Drosophila melanogaster: one gene and its partners. The protein of the gene in region 2 interacts with the protein of the main gene of each other region in a biochemical or structural test. Each region holds a gene or a part of one and is shown on either strand. Other genes may lie near its edges.

What was found.
Region 1: the proteins of ci (region 2) and Su(fu) form a complex in vitro, tested with the Drosophila melanogaster proteins (2 studies listed by BioGRID).
Region 3: the proteins of ci (region 2) and slmb form a complex in vitro, tested with the Drosophila melanogaster proteins (one study listed by BioGRID).

Annotation. Positions count from the first base shown.
Region 1 is NT_033777.3:12,688,088-12,693,097, reverse strand, and holds Su(fu) (suppressor of fused), read left to right. Parts: upstream 1-1,629; 5' UTR 1,630-1,659; coding exon 1,660-3,066; 3' UTR 3,067-3,225; downstream 3,226-5,010. Other genes in the region: CG31347 (uncharacterized protein), read left to right, coding at 548-979; Arp1 (Actin-related protein 1), read right to left, coding at 1-94, 154-328, 391-455, 1,229-1,276; kar (karmoisin), read left to right, coding at 5,010-5,010.
Region 2 is NC_004353.4:52,049-59,409, forward strand, and holds the start of ci (cubitus interruptus), read right to left. Parts: upstream 4,284-7,361; 5' UTR 3,821-4,283; coding exon 3,783-3,820; intron 337-3,782; coding exon 1-336. UniProt on the Drosophila melanogaster protein: Has a dual function as a transcriptional activator and a repressor of the hedgehog (Hh) pathway. The full-length ci form (ciFL), acts as an activator (ciA) while ciR, its C-terminally truncated form, acts as a repressor. Involved in segment polarity.
Region 3 is NT_033777.3:21,123,201-21,129,162, forward strand, and holds the start of slmb (supernumerary limbs), read right to left. Parts: upstream 4,286-5,962; 5' UTR 3,795-4,285; coding exon 3,738-3,794; intron 2,185-3,737; coding exon 1,962-2,184; intron 1-1,961. Other genes in the region: CG5793 (uncharacterized protein), read left to right, coding at 4,778-4,854, 4,921-5,017, 5,147-5,293, 5,352-5,693; Obp93a (Odorant-binding protein 93a), read right to left, coding at 5,750-5,949.

The DNA of each region.
Region 1 (5,010 bases), on a different chromosome or scaffold from region 2:
AGAACTCGGCTGCCTTTTCGCGGTTTCGGCGCGGATTAAGCGGGGCCTCGGTCAGCAGCACGGGATGATCCTCCGTGAAGGTGGCCAGTTGTTCCTGGTCAATGCCATTTAAAACATTTAGTTAAGATTATGGAACATTTATGGACAAATTACTTTGCTGTAAATGTAGCTCCATATCCGCTCCATGTCATTCCAGTCGGTGACAATGCCGTGCTCCATGGGGTACCGGATGCTAAGCAGGCCACGGTGCTCCTCCGCCTTGGGTCCAACGAATATGTCGCCCTCCAGCGCACCAGCCATCACTCGGACATGCTTGGGCCGGCCAATGCTGCAGGAGAAGGCATTAGTTCTAGGGGTTCTTAAGGTTCGTGAGTGGTCCACGGCACTTACTAATTGGGAAACCTGCATTTTGGAATGTGCTCACCAGCAAAGCCGGCTTTGATCACACCGGAGCCCTGTCAAAAGTGATGTGGAATACATTTAGTTAGTTGCGTCAGCTTATTTTATTTAAAATTCAACGTGCAAACAGGAAATCTATATAGTCAACATGGAATCCTTTAGTGTGCCGGAAGTGGACATGATGACCGTGTCAAAGAATTCGCAATACGAACGGGAATCGCTACTAAAGTTCGCACCGCCAGTTGGACTGACCAACATCAGCTACGGCAGCTTGTACAAGGTGGACTCCTTCTATTTGGAGTGCCAGAAGTACCGAGATCAATTCCGCGATCCCTACAACAAGCTGCTGCGCCCCAAGATGTTCAGCACATACAGGGGCAAGTGTGGTGTGAAGATAGATCCCGAACTGGAGCGCTTAAAGCGACCCGCTGCCTCCCATGTGGAGTCTATTCCCGTGGTTTACCCAATGGAGTACGGGCACCAAATGGACTTCGACAGAGGCTTCCAGATGCAGGGACGCAACAGCAGGGATGCAGCCACCGCCCGCAGATATCCGTGTGTGCGTGTGCTGGGCAGATAAAGGGATTCCACGCAAGCTTTATAGACCAAATTCCCCGTTTTCGCTGTCTTCACTTCCGAATTGAACCATCTCTGGCGTTTGCGGAGCTATTCTCTCTGGGATTAGTCATGTTGGCCATTTGAAGACGGCTTGAAAGCTCGTTGACAAAGGGACGGGCGGTAGGTGATGTCACTGTTTGCTGGCTAAAACTTTGGGAACCCTAGATTTGCACAAAGCTACCCGCATTTAATGAGCCCCATCTCCACTTACGTTATCTATGACGACGGGCTGGTTGACGACGACATCATAAGGCTCCATTTTGTGCGTTTATCAAAATTTGCAAATTTTCTATTAAATAGTTGGTCAACAGGGTGACCGTAGGTGGTTGGCAGAAATAAACAGCATGTAAAAATATACCACGGCAAGAAATACTCAATATTTTACATGGTGGTGGTTTAAAGCTATATGGATATATATTTTCACTGTTTTTCTCTACATTTTAAAAATAAGCAGAAAAAAGTAAGAAAGTAATAATTATTATAAAAAAGGTTTTAAAAATAAATAATGGTTTTAAAAGAAACTCATGTAAGTTTCCATTGTCAAATCCGCACTTTACATGGCAGTATTTTTATTCATGGTATATTCAAGCGGTGGTATTCCGCAACGTTCCAACTGAGGTCATACTGATCAAACTGGATGAAATGGCCGAGGCGAATTTGGACAAAAAACCTGAGGTGAAGCCTCCGCCGGGCCTTAAGGCCATCATAGACCACCTCGGGCAGGTGTACCCCAACCAGCCGAACCCGCTGCAGGTGACCACACTGCTCAAGTACTGGCTGGGCGGTCAGGATCCGTTGGACTACATTAGCATGTACAACTATCCCGGAGATGTGGATAGGAACGTTCCGCCGCACTGGCACTACATTAGTTTCGGACTCAGCGACCTACACGGGGACGAGCGAGTCCACTTGCGCGAGGAGGGCGTCACTCGGTCTGGCATGGGGTTCGAGTTGACCTTTCGCTTGGCCAAAACAGAAATAGAGCTAAAGCAGCAGATTGAGAACCCGGAAAAGCCCCAAAGACCGCCCACCTGGCCGGCGAACCTGTTGCAGGCCATCGGACGCTATTGTTTTCAAACAGGCAACGGGTTGTGCTTCGGAGACAACATCCCGTGGCGCAAGAGTCTGGATGGCAGTACCACTTCCAAGCTACAGAACCTGCTCGTCGCCCAGGACCCGCAGTTGGGCTGCATCGACACTCCCACGGGCACGGTGGACTTCTGCCAGATCGTCGGCGTCTTTGACGACGAACTTGAGCAGGCATCGCGTTGGAACGGGCGCGGTGTGCTCAACTTCCTTCGCCAAGATATGCAAACTGGCGGTGATTGGCTGGTGACTAACATGGATCGCCAGATGAGCGTCTTCGAACTGTTTCCCGAAACGCTGCTAAACCTACAGGACGATCTGGAGAAGCAGGGTTCCGATCTGGCCGGCGTTAATGCAGATTTTACGTTCCGTGAGCTGAAACCTACCAAGGAGGTGAAGGAGGAGGTGGATTTCCAGGCGCTGAGCGAGAAGTGCGCCAACGACGAAAACAATCGGCAGCTGACGGATACGCAAATGAAACGCGAGGAACCAAGCTTTCCACAATCCATGTCGATGAGCAGCAATTCGCTGCACAAGTCCTGTCCCCTGGACTTTCAAGCGCAGGCACCAAACTGCATTTCACTGGACGGTATTGAGATTACCCTCGCACCTGGTGTGGCCAAGTACCTCCTACTGGCCATCAAGGATCGCATCCGACATGGGCGCCACTTCACCTTCAAGGCTCAGCATCTGGCGCTCACTTTGGTGGCGGAATCCGTCACCGGCTCGGCGGTGACAGTGAACGAACCGTACGGCGTGCTGGGCTACTGGATTCAGGTCCTGATTCCCGATGAACTGGTGCCGCGCCTGATGGAAGACTTCCGCAGCGCGGGCCTAGACGAGAAATGCGAGCCCAAGGAGCGACTGGAGCTCGAGTGGCCCGACAAGAATCTGAAGCTGATCATCGACCAGCCGGAACCTGTGCTGCCCATGTCGCTCGACGCTGCTCCTCTGAAAATGTGATGGTGTCCATTGGTTAGCTAGTAGTTATTTAAATTAATCGAATTGAATCTTCCACTAACGAGTAAGTTTTACATTTATACATCTCATCTAACACAATGCACGTGGCCTTTGCTCCTCGCCGGAGTCCAGTCAAAATATACAAACACATACATATACCCGAAACCACTCGACGGGCCTTTGATCGCAATATGAAAAGAGGAAGCGCCGGCGCCAGGAGCGGCGAACAATTCGCCGGATGAGTCAAGTTGGGGTCAGGCTATTGAGCACTGGAACAGTTCGCTTTGGTGGCTGCGGCGGATATGGCCACTTGCAGGCGGTGGAAGTCATCGCCACCGACTAACCACCAATTGATGGTATTGCGCAGTGGACCGCCGAATGCTTCAGTTTCTAATTCTGGGAATTGATCAATTAGAAGAGCATTCAATTTGAACACAAAATCCCGCCCGGGATCATGTGATTGCGCGAGGAACTGGACCTGGAGCAGCTGCATCATCAGCCTGGCTGATGGGAAACCCTTGACGCATCGCTTGTCTGAGCGTTGCCTAGGTGAATTTTTGTTTACCGCAGAGAACAGTTGCTCTGCTTCTCCGATTAGGCGCCCCTCATCAAGTGAGCGAGCGATTTTTCGCAAAAACAGCTCGTGGAAAATAATTCAGTTTTCTTCATTCCGCCGCCGACGACGCAAGCGTTCGGTTGTGTGCTCGCTCGAGAGGTCTCCACCCGACCACTGATTCCCGCGATTCTCGAGTCGGCTTCATCTGATTCCCAGAGTCTTCAAGTGAATCGCACGTCTGCCTGCAGCGACTGGAGTTCCGGCTTACAAGTACGTAGAGGAGCGGACTTGAAGTTCGTCCAAACGCCGGCGATTACATAAGGGCCAACCCATCGACCGGTGGATGACCTTCGGTTTAGGCAGTGACCCCCCTTGGGATTGAGCTGGGTGTCGAGCGAGCACGTGCATGGCGTTGATAGCGCGAACTTCGGTGATAGCCGCCAAGAACGACAGTGGTTTTAGTTGTATTTCTTTATTTTTACTACAATTCCGTCGAGCGGTTCGCATTACATTGAGTTTTCGCTGTGGCGGCGATGCGGTTTTTTCGGCTGCCCCGCGGCGGGAAAAAGAAACGTTTGCAGAACGGAACGCTGCAATGAACCGTCAACCATAGACAGTAGACCCACCTCGAGCTACCGCGCCCCGAACCCCTCAAGTGCACTCGACAAGGGCATGCATAATCGAAAAATGCGACGAATTTCAGTTATCGCTTGTAATGCAATCTGTGTTCTGCGCAGCTTTAAAAGTGCATTACAATGTTGCTGACCAGATACTAAGCAGGGAAATTGGAGGCGGAATCGAAAGTTATGTGGCCATGATATCTTTGGATATTAATTTGAACCAGTTTTTTTTATGGTTCCTCGTTAACTGAGCTTTGCAATTTAATCCAATTTAAACTTTTCGTTGGCTAAATAAGTGACTAACATGCTAAAGAACAGAAGGGTAACTTATTTAAAGATACAATTTATGTTATTTGAAATATTCAAAAGTAAAAGGCATCCCTTATATCTTTATACCTTTATAGCAATTCCCTCAGCTTATCTCCAGTCGAAACTGAGATCTTCCCTAGTAACTCTCCCTTAAGATCTAGCCTTTGTTGCTCATTTAGTTCGCCTCTGGTTCGCCGACAATGTAAACTGCATTTTCATTTGTCGGGGGCGCAAATAGCGATAAAAGTGTCCAAATATTTGACCAGCCAATTCCGCGTCAGTCGGCGATTATTTTCCGGGATGGGGAAATGCGAGTGGCACTGGTATCATTTCGGCATATTTGGGTGCAGTGTGGCTTACTGATACGCGGAGTGCGTCCAACCGATTCAATGCACTTAAACCTCATACACTATATGATAAATTTGCAGGCAGCACTCCGAATCCAATCCTAGCCAGCAGCCA
Region 2 (7,361 bases):
AGAGAATACAACTGTTCCATGTATCCGGGAATTCTATAGGCCGGGTGAAAGTCATGTGGCTGTCCAGTAACATTTATATTGTGAACATGTTGAGGCTGATGATTGTGCTGGTGGCCAGCATTTCCAAGAAGGGTGTTTTCATTGCATATTTGTGGTTGTATTGAAGTTTTAATTGAATCTGATGTTCCACCCGTTGGAATAATTGATGGCACTGTTACCGAGCTTGAAACGTCAGTTGGGTGATGTTGGTTTATGCATGGTGATCCTGGTAAAACAGTAGCCGCTGCAGCGACGGCAGCTGCTCTCCTGGACGCTAAAAACTGCAATTCAGAATACCTATAGGAAATAAAATAAATTTTTTGTTAAATTTTGTTTATCATCTATAAGTGCGTAAGTACTATAAATCGTCTATCATCACCCAAAAATCTCGTATTTGGGTTTACATTTTTGTAATCATCATTTTTACTTAGGGAGAAAGAAACGTTTGACTTTTTAGAGTATATATTCTTGAACAGTCGATCTAGCCATGATCGTAAGTCCGTCCAAGAGCCAAGGAACTCTTGTATATATATATATATGCCAGAAGTTCAGATGAATCATGATTCATGATTCTAGTGACGCCTACACTGCTAAGTTTGTTTCCGGACGCTCCTACACCCAAAGCCCAAAAACAGCACAAAACAAGAGAGAATGATGTAGATGAGCTCCCCGACTATCAGATACCCGTTGTTAATACCAGTGTGAATGTGAATTTAATCATTTTTCTGAGATATCGATAGATATTAAGGAATATAATGACAAAAAATTTAAAAATTGTTTAAAAGTGTAGGCGTGACGGGTTTGGCGGCTTTAGGGCGTTGCACTGGTCATGTAAAAAATTTGTTTGGCAATCGACAGAAATTCTACGACCAAAATTGCTCTCTTTCCGCTCGCTCACGCTGAGAGCGTAAGAAATCTAAAAATAGAATTTGCTTGCTTGTGTGAGTAAAAACAAGAGACGAGAACGCGTATATGTGTGCGTGTTGTGCTAGAAGACTATTTTCGGGCCGAAATCAATTCTGATCGAAAAAACGAATTTACATTGTACATATTAGGGTAGTTTTTGCCAATTTCCTAGAAATATGATGAAATTAAATAATTTTTTTAAAATTCGCGCTTAATTAAAGCTTTTAAAATTTGTTTGTTAAAATCGCCGATCGAATTAGCTACCGTTTACACATATATATTTATGTTTAATTCTAATTTGTCTCTCATCTGACAATTTTTTAAAAGCGAAATATTTTTTTTTGAAACACTTTTAATGTTAAATGACTTAATAAATATAGTAAATAATTAAAGGAAGTACAATAGAAATTATTATAACTACTGGAATTTCATAAATTCCATAAGAATATGATAACTGTTTATTGCAAAAGTCTAGAATTATTCTAGTGTCTTTGCTTTGGTCATATCTTGAGGCACGAAGTGCGGACACAAGCACTCAACAATCATTGCCTAATTAATTTTTACACGCCGCAAGACGAATACTCTAATGACAAATATTCTAAATATATAAAGTCATTTTTAAATTTATTTTTGTGATAATATGTACATAGATTTGGCTCTTTCTAATCTATTTTCATATAATAATAACGTTAAGGCAATGCAAAACAAGAATTTTTCACATGGTGCCAATTGATCAAAAATAATATAGATTTAAAGTCAAAGAACTTCTAAGGTGAAGGGCATATTTTGTCAAATTTACAATGCATGAGCATACGTGTGCACACATACAGTTGTCTGCTATCACTTTATGCGATGAAAAGAGCTGTTCGCTGTAGCACTCTCTGCTCTCTCGCTCTCTAACAAAAATTCGAGAGAGCCTGGAGCCACCTCTAGAGCCACGGCGAAAAAATCGTGTGCCAAAAAATTGTATGGCGTTACGCATCTTGTTATTCTAGTGTCTTTGGTAGAAGGTTCAGATTAAGCATACCCATCCATACAAACCGATGTTTCCACGCCTACTTTAACGAACACAAACCGACCAAACTGCCAAGCCCACACTTTTGCAAAATGTTTTGATTTTATTTAATTTGATGTCAATGTTTATGGTAAGCCAAAAACACTTCGGCCCCTCCTAACAATTACAAAACACCCAAAATGCTAACGCCCATACTTCAGTAATTTTTTTTATTTTTCTCATTTTTTTCCCCAATATCTATCGATATGCCAGAAAAATTATGAAATTTTGGACTCTCCATTTCACTAGCTGAGTAACGGGTTTGTGATATTCGGGAAAATTGACTATAACAGTCTCTCTTGTTTTTCATGAAGTCTTGCAAATTTCTATCGATTCGCTAAAAAGTTTTTGTATCGCTCTAACGCCCTCAAACCGGCAAGCATAAGCAAAGACATTAGATACATGATTATAAGAAACCCCGCTATTATAATCCGATTCATTTGATATATAAAAAAATTCTTGATTATTAATCTCAGACATACAGATTCAAGTAACTTCTCGATCAACCAACAATAAAGTTAGAGTCTAATTTTTTTAAGTATTTTAATGTATTTACTATTTATTATTATATAATTTTTATGTAAACGCCAACATAATTTTCTTTTGGCTAGCTTCGATGTTAACATAGCAATATCTTTGAATGCAGCGTTTTAAATTCAAAATTAGATTACGACTTCTATCGATATTTAAAAATTATTTTTTCCACGCTCGCTCTTAACCGCAGAAACGGGCACGTCCGCAATTTCAAAAAGAGAGAATGCTATAGTCGAGTTTCCCGACTATCAGATACCCGTTACTCAGCTAGTGTGAATGCGAAATTGCACAATTTTTCTGGGATATCGATAGATAAAAGATAAAATGAGAAAAAAAATTAAAATATGTTGTCGGCAAATCGATATAAACTTAAATTTATAATAAATAATAAACTAATAAATTTATGAAAAAAATTCCCAACAATTTTTTACAAATGTGGGTGTCGGAGTTTTGGGCGGTTTTAGGGCGTTGGCAAAAAGTTTTTTTTTAGAAATCGATAGAAATGTAAAAGACTAATCAGAATGTGAAAAGAACAACACATTTTTCAAAAGTGTGGGCGTGATAGTTTTGCGCTGTTTGTGGACGTTAGAGTGGGCATGGCTACTTGCGTCTTTGTCTCTGTATGCTGAATCTAAACCTTCTAGCTTTTATAGTTCCTGAGATCTCGACGTTCATACGGACAGACGGATATGGCAAGATCGACTCGGCTATTGATCCTGATCAAGAATATACATGTATGTATATACTATATATGGTCTAAGACGCTTCCTTCTGCCTGTTACATTCATTTCAACGAATCTAGTAACGGGTATAAAAATGTTTATTATTTATTGATTAATCATAAAAATTATAATAATAGTAATTATAATAATAATAAACATTTTTATACCCGTTAATCGTTATTATTATTATTCTTTTTTATTGTTACCATAGTTATTATAATTATTAAAATTATTATTATTATTTTTATTATTATTATTATTGTTATTATAATAATAATAACAATAATTATATAATATATATATAATTATATGTAATTATATATAATTATTATAATAATAATAACAATAATTATTGTTATTTTTTATTTTTTTAATTATTTAATTATTATTATTTAATTGTTATTATTTAACTTACACATTTCTAAACATTTCATGGACTGTAATCTTAAAATTCCTCGTTTTAAACAAAAATGTAGATATTTTTCTATTGTAAGGCTTACTTCTCGAATATGCAAATAAAAACTTACGCAAGAGGAAAATATGTAGGTAACGCGTAGGCGTCCATTTCATTAAAGTTAGTCCACAACAAGAATGACGTCGTTTTATAAATTCAATTATCCTTTTAAATAATATTAACCGTCGGCGTAAACATTTTCAAAAGATTGGTATTTCAAATAACGGCACGCATAAATTTCCACTTTTGATCGGCAACTTAAACAATTTTAAGGAAACTCTTTGATTAAAAAGTTGGTTTTAAATTTTAATATTTAATATTCATATCACTTAAATATTATAATGGTGTGAGCTTATGCGCTCGGCTTCCTAAGTAATGAAGGGTATCGCCAAATCTCACACGTATATTCATAAGATTATCAGTCCCGAAGTAATATATTTATCACTAAATATTAAGTAGCGAACAATGAAAATCAGTTTTGTAAGACAAGTCAATATTTTTTGAATGCTGCGTCTTATTCCTATGTTTCTTACGAGTGGACTGAGCGACATTAACACTAGCTGTTGCAATGCTTCGTTAGTTTAGATGGAGCAGTTCGGATCTCCTCTCACACATGCCATTGTCCAAACACAGATACTTGTACAGATTCTACATAGATACGTGTAGGTTCACAAACATAAATACAATACAGTAACAAGTGCATTGGTGATTTAAATGTCTGTGTGTACCTACGGATCACGAACAGTCGGCGAAGGCGGGCAGATCGAAGATGGCCACACAATACATATACTCGTACGTGAGTTAAGATACTTTTCGATGCCAGTGCTGTTAATATAGATATTTTTACGCTAGTAGTTTGTGTCTCTCAGTGGGTAATTTTTGTCCTCGGCGATACAATATTATTTTTAAGCAAAAAACGCAAAAGTTATTGGCAACGCCTATCTCTATATACATATACACACATACATATATATATATATATAGATTAATCTTACAGTAGCTTGTACACCCGATTCAATCTTGATTTTGGCTATCTCGTTGATATTTGTACCCATTATACCCAGTATATCCAGTATATTAAAATACAAACATGTATTTGTAGTCGTATTTATCTATTATAGCCTTGCCCTTGCGAATAGCATTCTTGATGAAAACATACATAACTGTTTTCTATCCTATCAAGACTGGTTTGGTGTAATATTTGCGACACAGTATTTTTGCACTCAGTGTACTTAATGCATCGAATTTTTACCCCTATCTTATGGGTATATTGGGTATACTAGTTTCATTAAATAGTATATGATGTTAATAAGGTAGTAGACTCGGTAATCTAACAATCCAACAATTAAAATGTTTCCAACCCCTTGGGTATGTGGTTATAGCAATGTTGATGCTTAAATAAATGTTACTTCTGGCAGCGCTTAAATACTTGTTTATAAATTTTGAAAATTAATATTTCGATTGCAACACTTCGCCCCTTAGTTCTGTATTGGTCAATTCAACAACACTGTCTTGAACCAAATTGGATTTATAATTTCCGACACGATATTACGTACGGGCATAACTAGATTGATTCGGCTAGGGTCAATCAATTTCTTTTATCTGATATACGGCTTTAACCTAGACGACATTTTGCGGTCTAAAGACGATCTAGGTGAGTATAACGACAATGTTTTAAACAAAGCAATATAACAAAGTTTATAAATTCATGTCAATCAATGTTCTACTTTAATGATGGAAACGCGTCTATTTCCGAACTGCATTAGTAATTTTGGCTGTGTTTATTGAAAAAGGTATTTAATAGTAAAGACACACTACTTAAAGAAAAATACAATTTCGGAGACTTGTTTGTTCATAACGCGTGTAATTAAAAAAAAAAGCGACTTGAACTATTAAATATAATTGTGCCTAGTACAAGATAGCTTTGGCAAGCCACAGTTTTGATAAAGCTACATAATTAGTCGTCAAATTTAGTAAAATTTATCGAATAAAGTGGAGAGCATAATTATTTTCATTATGCCATTAATATTCAGTGAATATGGCTGTCCAAGAATATTCATATGTACTTTTTGGTGGCATCTGTCTTTTAACCCCGTCTTTAAAGGTGATTTTAACTAGTTAAGTTTTATATTAATGGGTAGGTGATGAAGTTATACTGATAATTTTTGGTGTTTTTGAAGAAATAAACTGATAATATATTTAATCTCAAAAAGAGGTATTTTGCAAACCTCCAAGGGTTTTGTAATTTGTGATCGTTCGAAGTGGGTATGACTTTTTTTTGGTACATCACTTTTAAAAGTCACTTTTAAAAGGGTGTGACAGTCTTCGGCAGTTTGTGGCCGTTATATACTTTGCATCGTATGTATATATGTACATATATTTTATACCGAACAAATATTTGTTATGACAAAATTTTTTGTATAAATACCATAGTATATTTTATATTATGTTACTATACTTTAATGCCTTCTCGCCCGTGTACTCGTAGTGGTTATAATATAAAATAAAAGATTCAAAAAGTTTGTATACCCAGTTTATTTCAATAATAATAAGGAACATTAAGAAAGCCACATCCTTTCTTTAAAAAAAAATTCTGTTTTTAATTTAAGTATGTAAAAAAAATGTTATTTAGAACATTATTACAATATAGGTATGTACATATGCTCTTCGAATGCCTTTGAACGGTTTTATATACATATGTATATTTACATATGTAAATAAAAATAAAAATCTTTCGAAACGTTTTAAGCAAAGAACTATAAAGCTATGTACATATGTAAGAGATTAGAAAAGAAATTGCAGCTCACATTATATTATGCAGCTCAATTAATATTAACTCATGCTACGATTTACAGGGCTTATATTTACATACATAAATACTTTTTGATACGTCCATTGACGAACACGTACATATACATTTATTTGTATTATTTGTATTATATGTATTTATTTGTATTTATATGTTCATATTCATATATATGTTCATTCATTCATATATTTATGTCTATACGAAGAAATTTATTTATTAAAGTTATGCTTAACGCCGTTGTACCTGTATCTGCAAAAATTTATATTTTACAACCACCGTTGACTAGTCTTGGCAATGAATTTCCTAACTATAAAACAACTCTGTACATACATACATATGTAGATGTGTATGGTGTATCCTTGTCCGGCATTAAAACAAGAAAAATAACATTTTTCCTGCAAGTGCACAGCAGGATTGAATCTGGTATCGTCAGATTCTTTTGATACCCATGCGTTTGTATGTATATTGTATGCATCTATATACATACATACTTGTGTGTGTATGTGCCAGGCCTTTTGTAATTTAACGTCTTACTCAAAACTCTATGAAGAAGCGGACACATGCTGTGCTTCTACAGCTTACACATACAAACAAATCTGTATGTTTGCTTAACGTACATTTGTGTGATTTTCCAGACCCTTTATGAATGTATGTATATGTGTGTATAAATATCCGCACAAGATAATCGTATTTGCAGGTACGTCTGTACGCTTCTTTAAGCGTGTATATGCACCCATACATAAATATACATAGATATATAGGTATGTATGTATGTTTGGTGGTCCCATTCCTTTTTATAAAAAACGTTTTGTCGATTCTTGGAAACTACAAAACCAGAAATTT
Region 3 (5,962 bases), on a different chromosome or scaffold from region 2:
CACAATTAAAAATGTGCATAACTCGGAATGGCAGGCTGTTTGGCGGGCGGCAGCGATTTGGCTCAACTTGTTTGCCGTCGCCGGCGACTAACGGTCTTAAGAGTGTCTATCCGTCTGCGAGCAAGTCCGTCCGTCCGTCCGTCCGCTCTGTCCACCCGACTGTCCCCCCCACCACCTTTTAGCTGCCTTTGAAGTGCATTACAATGTAAATGGAGGGGACAATGTTACCTACTTGCAACTCTTTTTCATTCTAGAACACTCAGTGATGCCAACTAAGCGGAAGTTATACAAACGTATGTGCTAGCATTCGATTTTCTTTTGAGTAAATATTTAAAACTATGCTCCTAAGGGATAAATTAGTCAATTAATTGGTGAATAACTAATCAGATGCTTGGTAAGCAAAGTAAATTAATAGCTCAATTTAAACTTGACAGTTTATAACATTTTAATCAGGCTCTTCATTCTAATTTCTGATAAGCATATCATAATGGCTTGCTATGTTTATAGTGACTGCATGAACTTTGTACTTTTAAAGCAATATATGAATTAGTTATATCTGGAAAAAAAAAGCCAAGTGGTCATAGTGTACTGTCATTACATAACAAGAAAGCAAGAACAAGGAGTGCATCGCCGGGGATTAAGTCAACGGAAGCATGAGACGACTTCCTCAAAAGAACTTATTCCAGACTGGTGGCTCAAGGAAGGAAAGGCTTGCAAATTAAAGAGACTTTTTTCGCTATTTCAGAACAGGTATGCATGCATGCATGCATTTCAGCGAATATCTGAGCAAACGAACCGAAAGTAAATATACGTTTTCTGTATAAATGCCCTTGCAAAGGCTAGAATTGCACGCACAGCTCTTGTTGATTGTTTGAGTCATCGATACGCTCACGTATTGATGCATTGATAAGCGAACTGATCGCTTATTCACATACTCATACTCATAGTTAACCTGTTTGCCCATACCCAACCCAATCATATCCATTGCACCCGTAGCACACTCCATAGTTTTGTTATTAGTTAACATCTGTTGGACGACAACAATCGATGCCACGAATAAATCGATTCACATTTTCTTATGAATAATATACAAGGTTCGTTCCCGCTTTCGTTCTGTTTGTGTTCCGGTAAAGCGCGTTTAATGGAAGCAACGACCTTTTAGTCAACAGCCAACAACCAGCAACCTAAAGCCCACCCACTGGCTTCACCTCCTCCTACTCCTCTGGGCTCCTCTCCACTCCAACAGTTGGAAACATGCCCGGCAACAATCCGGAGGAGCAAGGGTGTCTGTCGGGGGACGCGGAACGAATCGCACCGGGTTCAGAGCGCGGCTTGCCTTTCATGTTGTTCAACTTTGTACCTGCAGTTTGTTATTGTTTCGCCAATTGCGTGTGTCGAGGGCTTAAACTCAGCTTTGTGCTGCTAGACTCGCCTGAGATTCTAATGGTGGATGAGCCATTTCTGAGCCTTCATTTTAGGAGGAAAACGGTCAAACTCCGATGGTGGAATTCGCACCCTAACAGCTGTTATTGCCTTCTTATCGGCTGCGTGAATTGGTTTCTCTATTGGTCAACTGGGATTACTGACCTTCCCATACAAAGCATGCTGTTGATAACAACTGGGTTATAAATCACGTTCTTGGAATGACTTAGCATGACTAATTTATCCGTTCAATATTTATAATATTTAGGAATAGATCTAACAGCTTCAAAAATGCAGATTAATATATGATATACCACTTCATCATTTCCTCACTTGTAGAATAACCACTATTGAATCCACAGCTAAAACTGCATTTTTAACGTTCATATTTTCATAGTCGTTGGCTAACATGTTACAGTTTACAGTCTTGGCCTAATACTTTGTTGTGAACGTAATATATCAATCTGTATGAACGGAAGTTATTTCTCCACTTCGACTGGACTCAGGTGGCAATAGCCAGTGTATCGGCAGGCACTCACTTGGCAGCAATGTGATAAAGTCCCGCTGGAGCATCGGCTTGAGATAGGCATTGATCTGTCCGTGTTGATAGTGGCACATGCGCGACAGCAGGTGCTCCACAAAGTCCACCTGGCCCGACTCGCTCCACTGGGTGAAGTACTGAAAGCAGAGTTCCCGCTCCGTTTGGTAGGTGGGCGATGAGTCTTTCTTGCGCACCGGGTCGTACAGCATAGTGGTTGTGAACTGTATGGGTGAAAAGTGGCATAAAGAAGCAAATTAATTATGAGATTGCATTTGTTTCGTTTTTGTTGTTGTTGTTGTTGTTGTGGGGCGACGATGATGTGTTATGGGGTGCTTCGATGTCAAGGGGCGATCGTTAAAACTGGAAAAGTAGGTAGCTGCTGGTTGTGCAACTTTTCTTTAGTTTAGGCTACCGACGACCCAAACTGGGGGCTTAAAATTAGGCAATTAGCTTCGACTACGCTGAGCGTTTCTTTCTATTCGTAATTTTTCTCATTTTTTTTTTATTCGGCGGCGAAAGAGTTTGCAAAGCGGATTTCTGAAGAATGAAAAACGCGACTGGCAGCGCAGCGGTAGAAACAGATCATTCACACGGCCAGTTTATAAATAATAATTGTATCGATGTTTATTTGGTCTTCCATGCTCATTATGCGCATTCTATATATAGACATACCCATTGATGGGCCCCAATTAAATCAAACGTCATCAATTAAACGCTAAAGATCTCGGCAAACAATTTTATCGGCGTGAAGTAAACAAATTGGTCGATTCGAGTGTGAGTGATTTGAGTAATTAAGTTAACTGCAATGCCAGCAATGCGAAAACCTTGCCAGTATTTGTAGTAAATGTTGTGAATATGTATGTACAAACATACTAAGTTGTATTCGGGTCGGTTGCCTTAATTTAATTGCCGTATTATGGTTTTTGTAAGCTTTAGTTGTTTGCCTTTGCCTGGTAACTTTGAGCTGAAGGATGCTACTTAAACTATGCACTGATTATGCTATGAGAAAGGTTTGTGGCAATAAGCAATATGAATGTATATATCCTCTAATTGATAGTTAATAATATCTCGTTTGTGTTTCGCTGCTATTACCAAGAAGCCATCTGTCTCATTAACCAGATTCCACCTTGAATCCGGCGAAATTAAAGCCCAGATGACTCAAGCGAAACCGAGCGAAAAAATTGAAAATAAAAAACGATTTTTTTGGCCCATTACTCGATGGTTTTACGCGAACTGACCTTCAGTAAGCCGCCTATCGTATATAGCTCCACAATTAAATAAGTACTGATTGAAATGTACACGGCCGTACTTTGTGCACAGCGTTTGTTATTAATTGTGTACACAAACTCGAGGCCAATTAACGAAATCTTAAGACTCGAAAACCGGAGATTGGGGATATATACATATATATGCAACGATAATTGAACAAAGGGGATGATGATGATGATGCTGGCGATGAATAAGTAGGCTAATGTCTAATATCCACAAGAGTTTAAGGTTATAGCCCATGGGATGGCTATGTGCCACAGTGTCCGAATTTAATAGAGTGCACGAGTGCAAAATCTGTAGTATATACGAAAATAAAGCACTAGCACACGCACACCAGTGTGTGACAACACGCATAGGTGGCGTAGGTGTGCGTGCCCCTGTGTGTGTGTATGTGTGTGGGTCTATTGAGGCGACACCTTGGGCAATATGTACTTAAATCGGTGTGTTTAATGCATTTAGAAGGGCAGAGATCCCGCTTAAAGCAGGTAACTTAGCGAAAACTCACGGCCTGTGCATTGGAGTTGGTTTCGTCCATTATTTTGTCAGTCTCCATTTTCATCATTGTGTTGTTTGTGTGTTTGTAGAGTTTACTGGCTCGTCGTTTGCTTCTCTCTCACTCGCTCACTGCCAGAGTTTTCCGTCGCACTCGCACTCACGCACCACGTAGCGTTTTTCGCTGATTTTTCGTTAACACGTCTCGCAAATCGCTTTTCGCCAGCGATTTCATATAATTTTTAGGTCGAAGGAAAATTACAATTTGCTCGTCTCGGTTTCTGTAGGACCGCAGGCGGGATGCGCGAAAACGGCGAGGCGAACGCGATGGCAAAGGCAAACTCAACTTGCCGAGGTCCCTCACCAATTGAGCGAATGTCGTATGCAAGTCATTATTCTCACCGCTCCTGGCGGCTTGCACGTTGTTTGTTTTTGCTTATTCAGATGACGCCAACTACTGGACACTCACTTTTCACACGGAGAATTTTATTTTTTTTTACCAGATCTCGCCCAAATACGGACTGCGAAACCACAAAGCCAAAGATGAGTGTGCACTATCGTTATCGATATCTGTCACATATATGAACGGTCACACTGCCACGGGCCAGTGCTGCAAAATACGGCAAGAGCACACAATTTCGTCGTTTCTGCTCTAAATTTTCGAACAGGTTGTTGCAATTACAACTATTTATGAAATGTTTTTAAGTTATTTCCCTTTCAGAGCTATGAATTGTAAGCATTGTATGGCTACCCAACACACTTTGCCAGCTCTGACAACTCTGCACATCCATATCAGCTGATTTCTCGATCGCTCTCTCCGTTTTCTGTTGTTATTTAATTGATAAACTTGTTGCGGGGGGCCACTCTCCAGATAACCCCCCACTTTTAAATTAATAAATATTGCGCAAGTAAGTGCCGTCCAGCTCGCCGAATGCTCACTTTCATTCGACCGCAGAGCTGTTCCCATTCTAATCATTTCCTTGAGCATTCATAATCGAGCTACAATACACATTTTTTTTCAAATTCACAGTGCAACTAACTCAAATCCTCAGGATGGCGTGCCAAAACCAAAATGCCGCCAACTTCTTGAGCAATGGCAAGAAAATTGTGGGGGTGGCTCTCAATTACATGTAACTCAGTGTCATAGTAATCTTGGGTCTGCATGGGTAATCCACGAATACTTTCTTCCGTCGCAGGGACGTTGTGCTGGCCAGGAACGTTCCCGTGCCCAAGGAGCCGCTCGTCTTCCTCAAGCCCACATCTTCGTACCTCCAGGAGGGTCAGCCCATTGTGGTGAGTTCTACAGAGAATTAATTAAGATAACATTAAGATAGTAGCAAGATAGCAAAAGTCCATAAACTGGAGAGTAAACGAATGGAAATTGAAAATCCCTCTTGTGATTTAAACTTTGTATTCCCCCAGTTACCAAAAGTCTTTACCAAGGTGGCATATGAAGTGGAACTAGGCGTGGTGATTGGAAAGCCCTGCAAGAACGTATCCAAGGCAGATGCCATGAGCTATGTGGCAGGATACTGCCTGGCTTTGGATCTAACTGCCCAGTGCAATTTGGTAAGAAGATGGATGCACTCAATCAAGAGCCATTGTTGTAATCAATAATCAATTTCAGGGACCAGCTCGGGCGGCCGGTCATCCGTGGACCTTGGGCAAGGGATTTGATACTTCTACGCCCGTGTCCCAGTTTATACCCATCGAAAAAGTGACGGACCCGCACAACTTGCCGCTTTGGCTCACCGTCAATGGAGACCTTAAGCAAAACGGGTGCACTGCAGACTTAATATTCAAGGTGCCCGACATCATTTCCTACGTGTCCAAGTACATGACCCTGGAGGCCAACGATCTGATCCTTACCGGAACGCCCAATGGTGCCGATGCGTTCAAGGCAGGCGATGTAATTCAGTGTGGAATGGCCGATCTCGCTAAATTGACCTTCCAAGTGGAGGCTGAATAAAAGTGAAGAATTTAATTTTGATGCTATATTCGGATATAATTGGATATGTGCAATGGCTATTTCTTCTTATTACTGGCCACATCATCACAGGCAACCAAATATTTCCACATCGCTGTGCAATCGCTGGTGTTTTTCCATTTGCTGGTCGGGCAGTTGATGTAGACCTTTTCCATGACGCAGGCCAGCAAGGTGGCAGGATAGAAGTCGCAGTCGCCCTTCTTGGGCATCCATTGGAACTCCTGCACCCGCTTCCTAGCTATTTAGAATTA